Schizosaccharomyces pombe: one gene and its partner. The protein of the gene in region 1 interacts with the protein of each later gene in a pairwise test. Each region holds a gene or a part of one and is shown on either strand. Other genes may lie near its edges.

What was found. Proteins that work in one complex are often made in the same cells at the same time.
Region 2: the proteins of SPOM_SPAC9E9.15 (region 1) and nbr1 interact in a two-hybrid assay, tested with the Schizosaccharomyces pombe proteins (one large-scale study listed by BioGRID).

Annotation. Positions count from the first base shown.
Region 1 is NC_003424.3:4,466,089-4,473,741, forward strand, and holds SPOM_SPAC9E9.15 (protein CIA30), read left to right. Parts: upstream 1-4,457; 5' UTR 4,458-4,592; coding exon 4,593-5,252; 3' UTR 5,253-5,327; downstream 5,328-7,653. Other genes in the region: abc1 (ABC transmembrane transporter Abc1/Ybt1), read right to left, coding at 1-1,274; p23 chaperone protein wos2, read right to left, coding at 2,148-2,680, 2,880-2,907; ESCRT III complex subunit Vps24, read left to right, coding at 3,573-4,268; MFS family transmembrane transporter Mfs1, read left to right, coding at 6,523-7,183, 7,237-7,653.
Region 2 is NC_003423.3:984,821-990,340, reverse strand, and holds nbr1 (protein Nbr1), read left to right. Parts: upstream 1-1,831; 5' UTR 1,832-2,036; intron 2,037-2,339; 5' UTR 2,340-2,503; coding exon 2,504-3,697; 3' UTR 3,698-3,958; downstream 3,959-5,520. Other genes in the region: subfamily NudF ADP-ribose diphosphatase Ysa1, read right to left, coding at 166-783; SHREC complex ATP-dependent chromatin remodeller Mit1, read right to left, coding at 4,017-5,520.

The DNA.
Region 1 (7,653 bases):
ACTAATAACGGAAAACTTGAACTGAGAATGGCAAGTAGAAGGCCAACATAAGCACTCCAGCCAAGAAGCTGATACAAAAAGTACATCGAAACGCCCATCTCCAAAGGAGCTCGAGCGATTATTCCAATAAATTCCCTCATCTCTCCAATATTATCAACGTCTTTGGCAAGAAGATTGTAAACGTAATCCAAATTGATTTTTGATCCATCTACTGCAACAAAAAGCGTTTTCGAGGTAAGCACTTTTTTGTAGATCATTTGAGTAATGGCAGCCTTAATTCTCAACATAAACCTTCTGGAAACATGAACGTAAAGTTCCTTTACAACAGATGCCAAATAAGGACCGATCAGGAGTACAAAAACCCATAAAAAAGGGCTGTTTCCTTCATCACTCTTCGGGTTTTGTAAATATTGCAAAAGTTTTTTAATAGCAAGAGGAGTGACAAATAATGTTGAACTGACGAGAACGGACAAAAAAACCATCAATAGAATTGTTGATTTAAGGGATAAAAGGATTGTATGCATAAGTGATTTTCTATCATTCTTGGCGAACCGGCTGTACCAAATCTGGGTACACTCGGTGTCAGGAAGAGCAGGAACATCAGTGAGGGTAATAGGTTTTTTCCACGATTTCCATATAATACCGTTTAACCATCCGTAAGTAAAAATCAAAGAAAATATACTACATGTTTGTTCAGGAGACGGGCGAGCAACCTTGGAAAACTTAACGGTCGGGCTCCACGCTCTTGGAAAAAAGAGAGGAATTATGACAAGCAAAAATAAAGTAATGTTATAAGCTAAAGGAAGCAGGAGAAGAAAGGATCCGCCTTTAACTGAAAAGCTCCAGGATGAATAGGTTAGAAAATCATAGATGCTTATCAGTCTTAGTAAAAGAAGCCCAAAAGCATTTGCTACCGAAATCCAGGAAAACAGGGTTGATCCATATTTTAAAGATGACAAAATGTTTAAACCAACGATCTCCAAATGGGTAATAGTTCGTATTGCCCACCAAACAGCATTAGTGTCCAAGTAAAATGAAAGTGCGGCAGAGACAATAGATAGGATAATTTGAATGTATTCTAACAAACATGTTTCTCCAAAGTATTTTTTTAAGGGGTGTTGGGTGTGATTGGCATGAAATAGTTTTTGAATAAGGAACAAATTTGTAAGGGAAAACAAAGAAAGGTAAAAAAGCAGTAGACATTGGTCTAACGTTGCATTTCTAAAAAAATTTATATCTATGTAATTTGAAAAAAAAGACTGAAACATTTTCATCACAAGTCGCAAAGTCTACAAAAAAAAAATTCTAATGGGATAAAAACCTCAAACGACCTAAAATGTTAAGCAATAAAAAGTCCAAGGTCAATAAACATAAGTCCAAAAATGTCCAATGGGAGGGAAAAATAAATAGAGGATTTTGCAACGATTAGGGCAATCGTAATTAATAAAATTAACAATGCAAACAACTAACAATCAATCGTTTAGGAATTATTCATCAAATTCAGTATTTAATTACTTTGTGGTCAAGAGTTAAAAAATAAATGTCTAATTGCCTCGGGTAATTGAAGGAGTTAATGAGAGATATTATGCTGTGGTGATGGTAAACAGAAAAGCATATGTTGCCGAAAAAAAACACACCCCGGCGTAATTATTTTTTTGTTTATTTTACATTTGGTAAATTACCTCAATTAAATGACTCTGTTTAAAATTTATATTGATATTAAATTAATATCTATCTGAGTAACTTAAAATGATGTTCGACGGTTCTGAAGTACATGACTACGAAAATAAAGTTTTTTATATGCAGATGTGAGCTAGTAAATTTCATATGACTAACTAAACATTCTATATAAAATCATAATATGAAACCATTCAGGAATAGAATTTGACATATAATCATTAAAGTATGCAATTCGTACGGGTCTTAATACATGAGCAACATATCTGTATTGGGAACAAACATTTCCTAATCAATATATTCAGCCATATAGGTAGAAGATGGTACTTTAGTTTACTGTTTTTAATAAAAAACTGTCAACGCAGCTCAAATTTGCTCCGCTCCACCTCACAAAAAGGTTGATTGCAATTTTGTATGAAACGTAAAAGATAAAATGGATGCATTTTAAGACTGATTACATGATAACATTATTACTCTTTCTTTTCGTTACTGCCAACTTCCTCTTCCTCTTCGAGTTCAGGTTCGCTGTCACTAGCATCTTCACCAGCTCCAGCTCCTCCAAGGTTACCAAATTGACTGAAGTCCATACCGCCCATACCTCCAAGTGCGCTCAAATCTGGCATGCCACCTGCGCCAAATGGACTAACTTCAGGTTGTGCTTCTTGCTCATCCTCGTCAACCCAACGATCAAAATCCGTTCTGAGCCAGTGTAATCGAAGTTTCTCTTTAGTAAGACGAGGCCAAAACTCTTCTTGTAATTCCTTCTTGTATAAGACGAAAAAGATGTAGCGGCCGGTAACAGAGTACTTGCTTTTCTCGACATCAATGTCCTTAAAAAAGTCAATTTGAACTGCGTAATGAGCGTTGGCTCCAGATTTGCTATCGATAACTAGTTTTTCAGGTGTCAAATTAATTTTTGGGTCAACAGCATCCGGAATTAAAACGGTGAGGTAAATTACGTTCTTTTCAGCATCATCCTTATTGGATCTTTGTGCCCATAAAACTAAACGAATGTTAGTAACAAGCACTAATAAAACACGCAAATAAATGTACATTGGAAAACAGAATATACAAAACCGCTAATCAAATATTTTATGTGAAGAAACCGAAGAAAATACTATCTTCAAACGAGAATTATTCGGCTTATTCTCGTCTCAGATTCTTCGCAGTATAAGGTGTTACGGATTTTTGTTGTAACATACCTTCAGGAATTTGTGTATTTAAACTCATTCTTTAATGATAAAAAGTATAGGTAAATAATAGGTTCAATATGGTAATTTTATGTTGAAACTTTTCAACTGTGAACTGCTAAAGTGGTTTGTCTAGTGCAGGTTCTTGAAGTCACCTACATTATATAGTGAACTATAAGTCACTGGGTACGGTATTTTCTAGAACATACGCTCAAGTATTCAAGACTGTGCCAGAAGCGTCTAGGGAATAAAATTGTTAAATTGCAGTTTTAATAGTTATCCTTGTTGATCGATTTTAGAAAATTGAGTCTGTTTAACGTCAATTGTCAAGAAGCTGATCAATTAATTGATTTCTTGTAAAACGGGATTTTAAAATCCTAGAAGCCGCTTTTTTAATCAATTCATAAATTGAAAAGACCAACTTGATGTACTCTATTTGAGGACTATTCGGTTTACGCTGATTTGAGGATTCTTCGTTTGAACAATTGAAGAAGTAAGACTTTTTTTAAAGGTTTCATATCATTTCGGTTTCAGTATCATTTTTTTAGAGAGATTTGTGTCAGTTTTGTTTTTCATAACTTTCTTTCCTTGTATTATTGCATAATCATCCATCGTTTTTGTTTTTTTTTTAATTGGTAAACGGGGAATTTACGTGTTTATCCATTTTTTCCTATCACCCAGCATTTCTCATATTTTATTATCAAAATGCAAACTGTAAGATCTTATTTCTTTGGTCCGACGCCTCAAGAACAAAACAGAAAATGGCAATCCATCATTCGAAAAGAACAACGACAACTAGATCGGCAGGTATACCATCTTAAAGCAGGCAGGAAAAAGGCAGAGGTTCAGCTGAAACAATTGGCAAAGCAATCTGATATTACAAATATGCGTATATTGGCTAAAGAAATTGCCCGTGCAAACCGACATGGTAAAAGACTCGCCGAATCAAAAGCTTTATTAGGAAGCCTAAGTCTACAACTGAATGACCAGATGGCTATGTTAAAGATACAAGGTACTATGCAATCCAGCACAAAGATAATGCAAGATGTATCATCTTTAATTCGTCTTCCCCAACTCTCGGAAACTATGAGAAATCTGTCTATGGAACTTACAAAGGCAGGTGTCTTAGAGGAAATGCGTGATGAAATGTTTCTACCAGTAGAAGACGATGAAGAATTGATGGATTTGGCTGATGAGGATGAGGAAGTCCAAGAAATTCTTACAAAATATAATGTCATTCCTGCACCTTCAGAAAAAGCAGCGGATGCTGCTACACATCGTGAACAATCACTCAAACAAGCACTTCCATCTTTATCCAATGGGATTGCTAAAGACTCTACTGAAATTGATGAAGAACAATTGTTGGACATTCGTGATAAGCTAGATGCTTTGAAATCCTAAACGGTTTAAATATTTTTTCTTTCTCTGCTTCTAATTTTACATGTTTATTCTTTGTATTATATCATTTAAACTGATTTCCTTGCATATTTAACAAAACTCCCTGCATTACGGTTGTAGTAATTTTATGGCACAAAATTCTTTTTCTCGTTAAATTTTCATCAGTAGCATATGAAGTAATTATGCATCATGGACCGCCTTCCTATATCATTCAATTTTTGGCAGATATATTCAATAAGTAGGCTTCATATCTTTCCTTTGCCTTTGTTATTGAATACAAAATACTCATATATCCACCGCTGTTGAACATTACTCCATTAAAAAGAAATGCTTGTTCTTTTTGGTCAGCCAGAAAATTGGCATGAGCAGGATTTTCGTGCTGTAGATGATAGGGTTCGTGGAGGCTCTTCGATAAGTCATCTCACTGAGGAGAAGGATAGTGATGGGAAATCTCGCGCCAAGTTTTGGGGCACTCTTGATACTAAGACCTTGGGAGGCGCTGGATTCTGTAGTCAGGCTACTAATATCAAGGATAGGACGTGGAACCTGAAAGAGTTTAAAGGAATTGAGCTCGATATTGCTAAGAGCGATTCTTATAAATATACTTTTATCATTAAGGATTGTCATCAAGATTGGGAAACTTCTGATGAGAAGTCAAGTTTATCATATGAATACGACTTTACACCTATATATTCTAAGGAAGACCAAGTTGTTTCAATTCCGTTTTCCGAATTTAAACCGACTTATCGTGGTCGACCTGTAGAAGGAGCCCCGGAGCTTGACGTTAGCAAGATCACTCAGTTTTCAATTATGATTCGAAGCTTTTTTAATTCCCAAAGTGGCGACTATGAACTAGTTTTAAACAGTATTCGTGCTATTCCAAAGAATGTTCCTTTTACTACCCATAAGATGAGTAACGAGAAGCAAAGACTTTTTGACGATTATGAAAAAGAAATTGCTGGAGGTTCTTGGTGCATTTGCCAATAATTCCAAAGTTTTAGCAATACTTACTTAATTTATTTTCATGACATTTGATGAATTTAACTTGCGTTTTGTGCGGTATTCATTTGTATAGTAAAGACATGAAATTATAGTAAAGGCGACTTTGTATTACTTTAGTGTTGGGGATATTAAAGTCTCCTGCTACTCTTTTTTTATTTTGAAGTAATTTTAAAGAGATGAATAAGGTTAGCAATAGTTTAATTGACATCAATTTAGTACATTGACATTTACAAAAATCTGAGTTTTTAGCTTAGCCGTTACTTCTATCCATTAATGGTGATGTCCGACTAATGTCATTAGAGCAATTAGCATTTGCAATCATAAACTAGACGATCATAATCAATCAAAGTAATTGACAAACAACAACACTATGAATTGATATACGTACAACTATGGAGTTGTCACATCTCTGCAAAACTACAACCAAAGTAAATTCAATTTAGTTTGCTTATTTTAACTTCTGATTGTCAGTAACTTACCATATATACTCAACGCATTCTTTCCCATTGCCGCGGAATTTGTACAAATTTGACTAGTGAGGTTCGCTAAACTTCTTGATGATAGTAGTATCGACAGATTGTCATCACCGTATGTCTTGAAATAATTAGTTGGGTGTTTGCATTCCCCAATGAAATAAAAAATCTTCAATATTTAACTTTATTTTTATTATTTAAAGTACAAATTACATTCATCAATGAATGGAGCTGTTGAAAGCTTATTGTACATAAAAGTAATTAACAAGCGAGAGTATTCTATCTATTTATCTACTTACAAACAGATCAATCTAATGGAGTCGTTAAGAGTACCTTTATCCTTTTCTAAATGTATTCATAGGCTTAAACCACTAACTTAAAAGTAATTTTATTGTGTTGACAAAAGTTAAGCCACTGCTAGAATAGTGTAAATATTTTAAGCGAATTACGGTTAAACGATGCGACGGACAAAGATAACATTTTTCCCGACAAAGCGCTTCTATGTTTATCGACTAATACTGAATAAACCTATCCTCGGTTTCAACGAATTTTGCTTCCGAGTGTATAGATCAGCGCAAGTGGAAATTCTTAGAAGTGGCTAAACATGCTATTTAGGCCAATGTCCAACAAGGAAATTTTCATGACATGAAGTAAGAACTGGTCTATTTAAAGAGGTTCTGTCTGGCAAGCAAAAGTTCTACGAGGAATGTAATGACAATCAATTTTGTCAAGTTTTTATTACGATCCACTGAGAACAAGAACTTGCATTGAGAACCGATTGGATGTGGTTTTTAAGAGAAACAATTTTTGGTGAATTAGTGGAATACTTTTCTGGCGGTACTCGCCAAGTTGATGTGGAGAAATTAGGAGTATGCACAGATAATAGTAATGTTGAGTTAAGTAGTTGCCCCGATTCTTCATTTGACGACGAGAAAACTAACCAGGTTAACTCTGAAGGATTGATTATTGTGACATGGGATGGCGAAGATGATCCTGAAAACCCAAAAAATTGGCCTTTATGGGCAAAGCTCGTAGTAACATTTGATGTTTGTTTTTTAACGTTTGCCGTGTATATGGGGTCGGCAATCTTTACTCCTGGTATTCAGGAAATTCGAGAGACGATGCATGTAGGAACCGTGCCCGTAATCTTGGGGCTGACTCTTTTCGTTGAGGGGTATGCGGTTGGCCCTCTCATTTTCTCTCCACTCTCTGAGGTACCTCAAATAGGCCGTCAAAAAATTTATGTGCTCTCCCTTATTGTTTTTATCTGTCTGCAAATCCCCACTGCGCTAGGATCTAGCTTGGGTGTTTTGCTTCCAATGAGATTTTTGGCGGGAGTTTTTGGCTCACCTGCCCTCTCCACTGGAGGAGCCTCTCTGGCCGATATTTGGCAGCCATGGCTTTATCCTTATTTCATGTGTTTCTGGTCCCTTGGCGCAGTTGGTAAGCTGGATCATTTAATTTGATAGTGAATTTGTGACTAACTAGTTTTCTAGGTGGTCCTGTTTTAGGTCCCTTGCTTGGTGCAGCCATGGTAGTTGCTAAATCATGGAGATGGCAGTTTTGGCTTTTGATGATGATTTCTGCACTTGTCTTGGTAATTATAACTTTTTTTATGCCAGAAACCTCTGAATGGCATTTATTGTATAAAAGAGCTAAAAGACTGCGCGAATTGACTGGAAATCCAAATTATAAAACGGAGGCCGAAATAGCCTCCTCGCAATTGAGTAAAGGCCAATTTGCAAAGCAAATATTGGTTCGTCCTATAATTCTGTGTGTCTCAGAACCAATCGTTCTGTCATTAACCATCTATATTGGATTAGTATATTCAATTTTATACCTATGGTTCGAAGCCTTTCCCATCCTTTTTACTACAGTCTACCATTTTACGACTATTGAAAACGGGTTGGTTT
Region 2 (5,520 bases), on another chromosome or scaffold:
GAACTACGAATTATGGGGAACACGGTAACGGGAATTATTGGATAGACATATATATTATTTTTAATAAAGTTTGACTAAAACAAAGGAAAGTTATAGCATAAAAAGTCCATTAGCAACATTTAATAGTAAACGGTCGTAATTCAGTGAATAGCAAAAGGTGCATAGCTAAGACGACAAGTATTTAAGACCAGCATGTAATCCTAGTGCAAATGTGGAGAGACGAACATCAATGGCAAATCCCTTCTTCTCTAAAGAAAATAATTCCTCTTGTAAAGAAGAAAGCTTGATTGGAAAGTTCTCAATGTATTCGCCATCGTCAAGTTGTTGTTGAGGATTTTGGTTTTCAGGCTTCGACATGTCAATGTCAGCCAGTATAATCTTAAGATTAGCATTCGTAAGACCCGGATCATTGTACATGACAGTGGTGGAGTCCATAACAGTACCAACGTAGCCAGTCTCTTCACGAAGCTCTCGAATCGCAGCATCTTCACAAGACTCCTTAGAATCAACTAAACCTGCTGGAATTTCAATACAAAACTTGCCAATAGGAGGACGAAATTGCTTTTGGCACAACACATGAGGACTTCCGTCGATAGGAACAATGGCTAAGATGGCTACGGCATCCACATTGGCTTCTGAACGTGTCGTACGTTCAGCCATTTCCCAAAACCTGATTTTTCCTTTTTCGTCTTGCCAACGGATTTTCTTTAAGGATGTCCACTTGGCATCCTGATTCTCAAGGTTGGACACTTCCAAAACTTTAGGTTTTTGATCTTGGCTCATTTTATCAATACAGGTGCTCAAACCTTTGACAGTGTATGAAGGGTGTTGGAATGAAGTTGCTGATATTTGAAAAGAGAAGGTGGAAATAGCGATGTGAGAATATGAGCTAATCAATTTCGGAGGATGCTGGTGTCTACCAACGTTAAGTAAATATCGGGTTAGAAATGAAGTTGCATTTATACCTAATGTTCTTGTACTTTTAATAATATGCTGGAAAAAATTTCGGTGCATGAGTGACTTAAAATCCAACTGAAATATTGCTTACTTTTTTCCCGTTAATGCGTAAACGTGCGATTAGTATGACAATGTAAGTATGATGTTAATTTGTTTTGACGTATATTTACAAATTTCATTAATGTAAATATTAACAATCAGCAAAAAACCAAAATTATTATTTGAGCAAAATCATAACGCGGAGTATACCATTAATTATTAACTTAGCTATAAACTGGTCGTTTATCACCTTCTCTAGTGTCTTTTCATTTGCAATTGATTTTACAAACGGATCATCAAAAGATACCGTGACCGGTTTTAGCCAATATAATGGAGTTTTTCCTACCCTTTTCTATTATTGTAGTAAAAGATTTTACGCTGTAAGAGAAATTGCATTTATTTACGTTTTCAGTTCATAATCGCTTATTGATATTAGAATAGCGTCAACTTATGATTTAAGAATATATAATATTAATACTTTATCGACTCACATCTCATTTAAATTACATTTATGCCATAACCCATATCTAGTTTAATGTCTAAGCCGATTTCTAAGTACATTTTAGGGCTTAAGTTAAGTAGTTTCCAATTTAACTAAATCAATTTCTTTTTCAAGTTTGCTACATCAACAAAATTTTTCATATATTCATTTTTAGGGCCATGCGTTGAAGTACCAACCTCTTGTAGATAAATTCGCTAAGTTACTGTTTATGCTGTGCACGCTTCTAAACGCTACCACTTTTTAGCGACGCTTAACTTATCTATTATCAGTACGATATGCTCATCCCCCATATACGTGTGATAAGCTTACACCTCGACCTCGTTCATTTACATTACCATCAACTTCTACTAGCGAATTTGTCCTGCTCACTTCACCCGTTGAATACATCCCATTTAGAATTAATAGCTTGATTTCATAACCAATTAGGAACCCGTCATTATAGTTGCAATTCCAACGCTCCTTACATTTCGTTTGCACTGTATCTCTACACATCCGCTTCAATTATTTGTTTTGTCTTTATTTCCTGTTCCGTCTATAGGTAAGATAATTTACTTGCACAAAGTCTTAAGTTCAATGTTTGTACAACAAATTACAAAAAGGATTGAAGGACTAAAGTGGTTGATGGAACTTTAATAATAACATCTTCGATAAATATTTACGAGAACGTAAAAATCCTTGTCTTGATAAAGATTGTTTTTTCTATTGCCTTTACTCTGAAATTGCTAGCACTGTTGCTCACTTCGGCGTCACATATTTCCTCAATTTCAAAATTCATATGAACTATTAAATTTTACTTTGCAACTAATTTCATTAGTTAATATCGTTACTAATTTTGCTTTAGCTTATTTCGAAAGAGCTTTTTACCTACAATTAAGACCTTCTCTTACCTAAGAACTCGAGTTACTTCTTGACTGCTTACGCGATTTTTTTCTTTTTTTTGCTTTCTTTAACGCTCTCTTTTATCATTAAATTTTATTTTATTTTATTCACGTTTTTGATCCCGAAATGCTTTGCAATCGTACATGTCCCTCTTCTGATTGTGGGATTCTTTGCAACCATAGTGTTCCTTCCTTCCCTCCTTTTCATTCCTCAGTCGCTAATATCCACTTCACTAAGGAGAATAATTTAAAGTCAAACATTTTTGAGCACAATAATAATTCGCCTACTTTAAGGTCTTCTTCTGTTGCTTGTAACACTTGCCTCAAGATAATTCGGAATGACTCATTTCATTGCACAAAGTGTTTCGATTTCGATGTTTGTAGAGACTGCTATGCGAAACAGGCATTCCTCCATCCTTGCCCAAAACCCCATTTCGTACTTGTTCGCTCTTCAATCCCTTCAGTTGCTTCCTTAACCTGCAGCGTAAATTCTATGTCAGTTTCTCCCCAATCTAATTTTATGTACGCCATTTGTGACCATTGTGAGCAACCTATACATAATGTGCGTTACAAGTGTAGTGTTTGTGATGACTACGACATTTGTGAGTCTTGCCTTACCGACAATAGTCATTCAAACACGCATGCTTTCGTTCGAATTACTAAAGCTTATCCTCATGGTCTTCCTTCATTTCATTTGTTCCCTCAGTTCCTATCAGCCGAATTGTTTGAGTCTGCCTCAACAGTACATCGATCGGTTCAATGTGACAACTGTCTTGCTCATCCAATAGTTGGACCAAGATTTCATTGTCTGGTTTGTGAAGACTATGATCTTTGCTCCTCATGTGTATCTCATGTGCATCATGATCATCATTCAATGCTCCGTTTAACTCGCGAAATATCTGCTTCACCTTTACATTTATCTAAACCTGAAAAACCTAAGGTTCTTAATTTCGACTTCAAGTTAGTTGAGGACTCCATTCTCCCCTTAGAATTAAGCCCTGGCTGCCCGTTTTATAAAATATGGCATATAAGGAATACTTCTTGTCAATCGTGGCCTTCTCCGTTGTATGTCAAGTTTAATGGTGGAGACAAACTTTTTCCAGGAGACAATCCATATTCGTTTCCTATCACTTCTTCCGTTCATCCTGGTGAGGATGTTAATTTTACAGTTGCTTTGAAGGTTCCTGAAAAAAGTAACAAAGAGATTTTTACCGCATTTTTTAATATCTGCTCCGATGATGGTAGCGTTTTTCACAAAAGTCTTTGCGCCTTCCTTCGTGTACCGAAGTCTTTTAGCAGAATTAGTAAGTCGTCTTTTTGAAACCATTCGTAACGCTTTTTATGTCCTGTAGAAGTTTAGTGTGGAAGACAACGATAACGAAACTGATTTCAGTTTTATATTTCTTTCTTTTGTCCACTTGTCTGGCGGTTGTTCGTATATAACCGCCGGTTTTAAGTTCATGATTTGCTTCAGAGTTGAATCACTTGTTACCATATTTGATCCTACCTTGTTATAATGATCTTGATGGAAATGCTATATATGTTTAAAATTTATATTAAAAATTATATATTAACGAATAAAATGCAGGATACATATGAATATGCCAGATTAAATAATAGTATACATTGATGATAAAACTCTAAAGAGTTTTTGCTTCATTAATTATGGATTCCTTTATGATTACTTTCGATGAAAGTTCATTAGTTTTGGCACTGCTTGATACAGTAGGTTCCTCCTTTTTTTGTAGAAACGAGTTTAATCTAGCCATAGCTTGTTTTTTGATGTGAAATGGTTCTCGTGATTTGCTAAGCGAATCTTTTAGTCTATAAATCGCTTCCTTATTTCGTAACATAGGGCACGTGTCCCTTCCACTAAAGTGAGGTGTTCCACATAAAAAGCATATTTCTAATGGCACAATGCTTAATGGACAATGTGCTGGTAAATGTTTAATACCACAACATCGACAACGTACATTATCAGACAAAGAAGACAGTAGAAAAAAGTTGTCAAGAACTGCTTTAGACAAAGATCTTCCAACCAGTTGATGATTTTTTTCAATTATTTCGTAAGGTGGGTAAAAAACTGGATCGTCTATCAGTTGCATTTCCGAATCATTAATATACTCTGAAGAAGTTAATTTGTTAGCCACCTCTAAATTGATGGTGGATAGAGTTTTGTTAAATTCATCTTCTTTGGGAGTTGTTGCTAATAGAGATTTAGCTAAGATAGAGTCAAAATGAACATCTGCAGACTTTTGAGAATCAGATTCATCATTTAAGTTTTCGATATTTACGCTCGAATCATATTTGAGTTTTTGCTTATCAGATAAAGTATCTGTTATCGAACTGATTGTCTCAGTTTCTATGGGAAATGGGGAGCCTGGTGATGATCGATCATTAACGGTATAATCAGTATCGTCGCTATTATCATAAATATTTAAATCTTCGCCATAATGGATTTTGTGGTGTGCACGAAGTCTCCTGTTGGAAGTTGTTTCGTCTGTTTTTTCTAGCATTGCATCCTTCTCTCGTTGCTTAAGTATTACTGACCAGACATCTTCTTCATCAACAAGAACATTTTCTTTGACTTCATAATGATTGGAAGATATATGTTTGTTATCCCAAACACGAAAAAAGCCAAACTTATTGCTTTTTATATCTGATTCATCAGTTGAAGTATCTTCTTGTTTCTCAGCTTCTGAGATAAGTAATTCTACCGAATATTCATTATACTTAATAGACGGTTCATCACCAGCCTCTTCAAATAATGCACGAGCCCCATGCCGCAAGATACTTTCTAAATCTTTTTCTGAATTATGATTTTGATCCAATGACTCAACAATTAAGTGGTCCAATACAAGCTTCTTTTGAGCGTTTTGAATGATTTTTTCCTCTACAGAATCTCGAGTAGTTAACACAAAGACAAGTACCTTTTTTTTTTGCCCATATCGATGAGCCCTTGCAATCGCTTGCATGTCTTGATGAGGATTGAAATCAGGATCTAGTATAATAACAGTGTCCGCACTAGCTAAATTGATGCCAACTCCACCAGCACGGGTAGAAAGTAAGAAACATGACAACTCAGAATTAGGAGCATTAAAAGAGTCGATTGCTGACTGCCTTTCCATTTCCGATGAGGCGCCA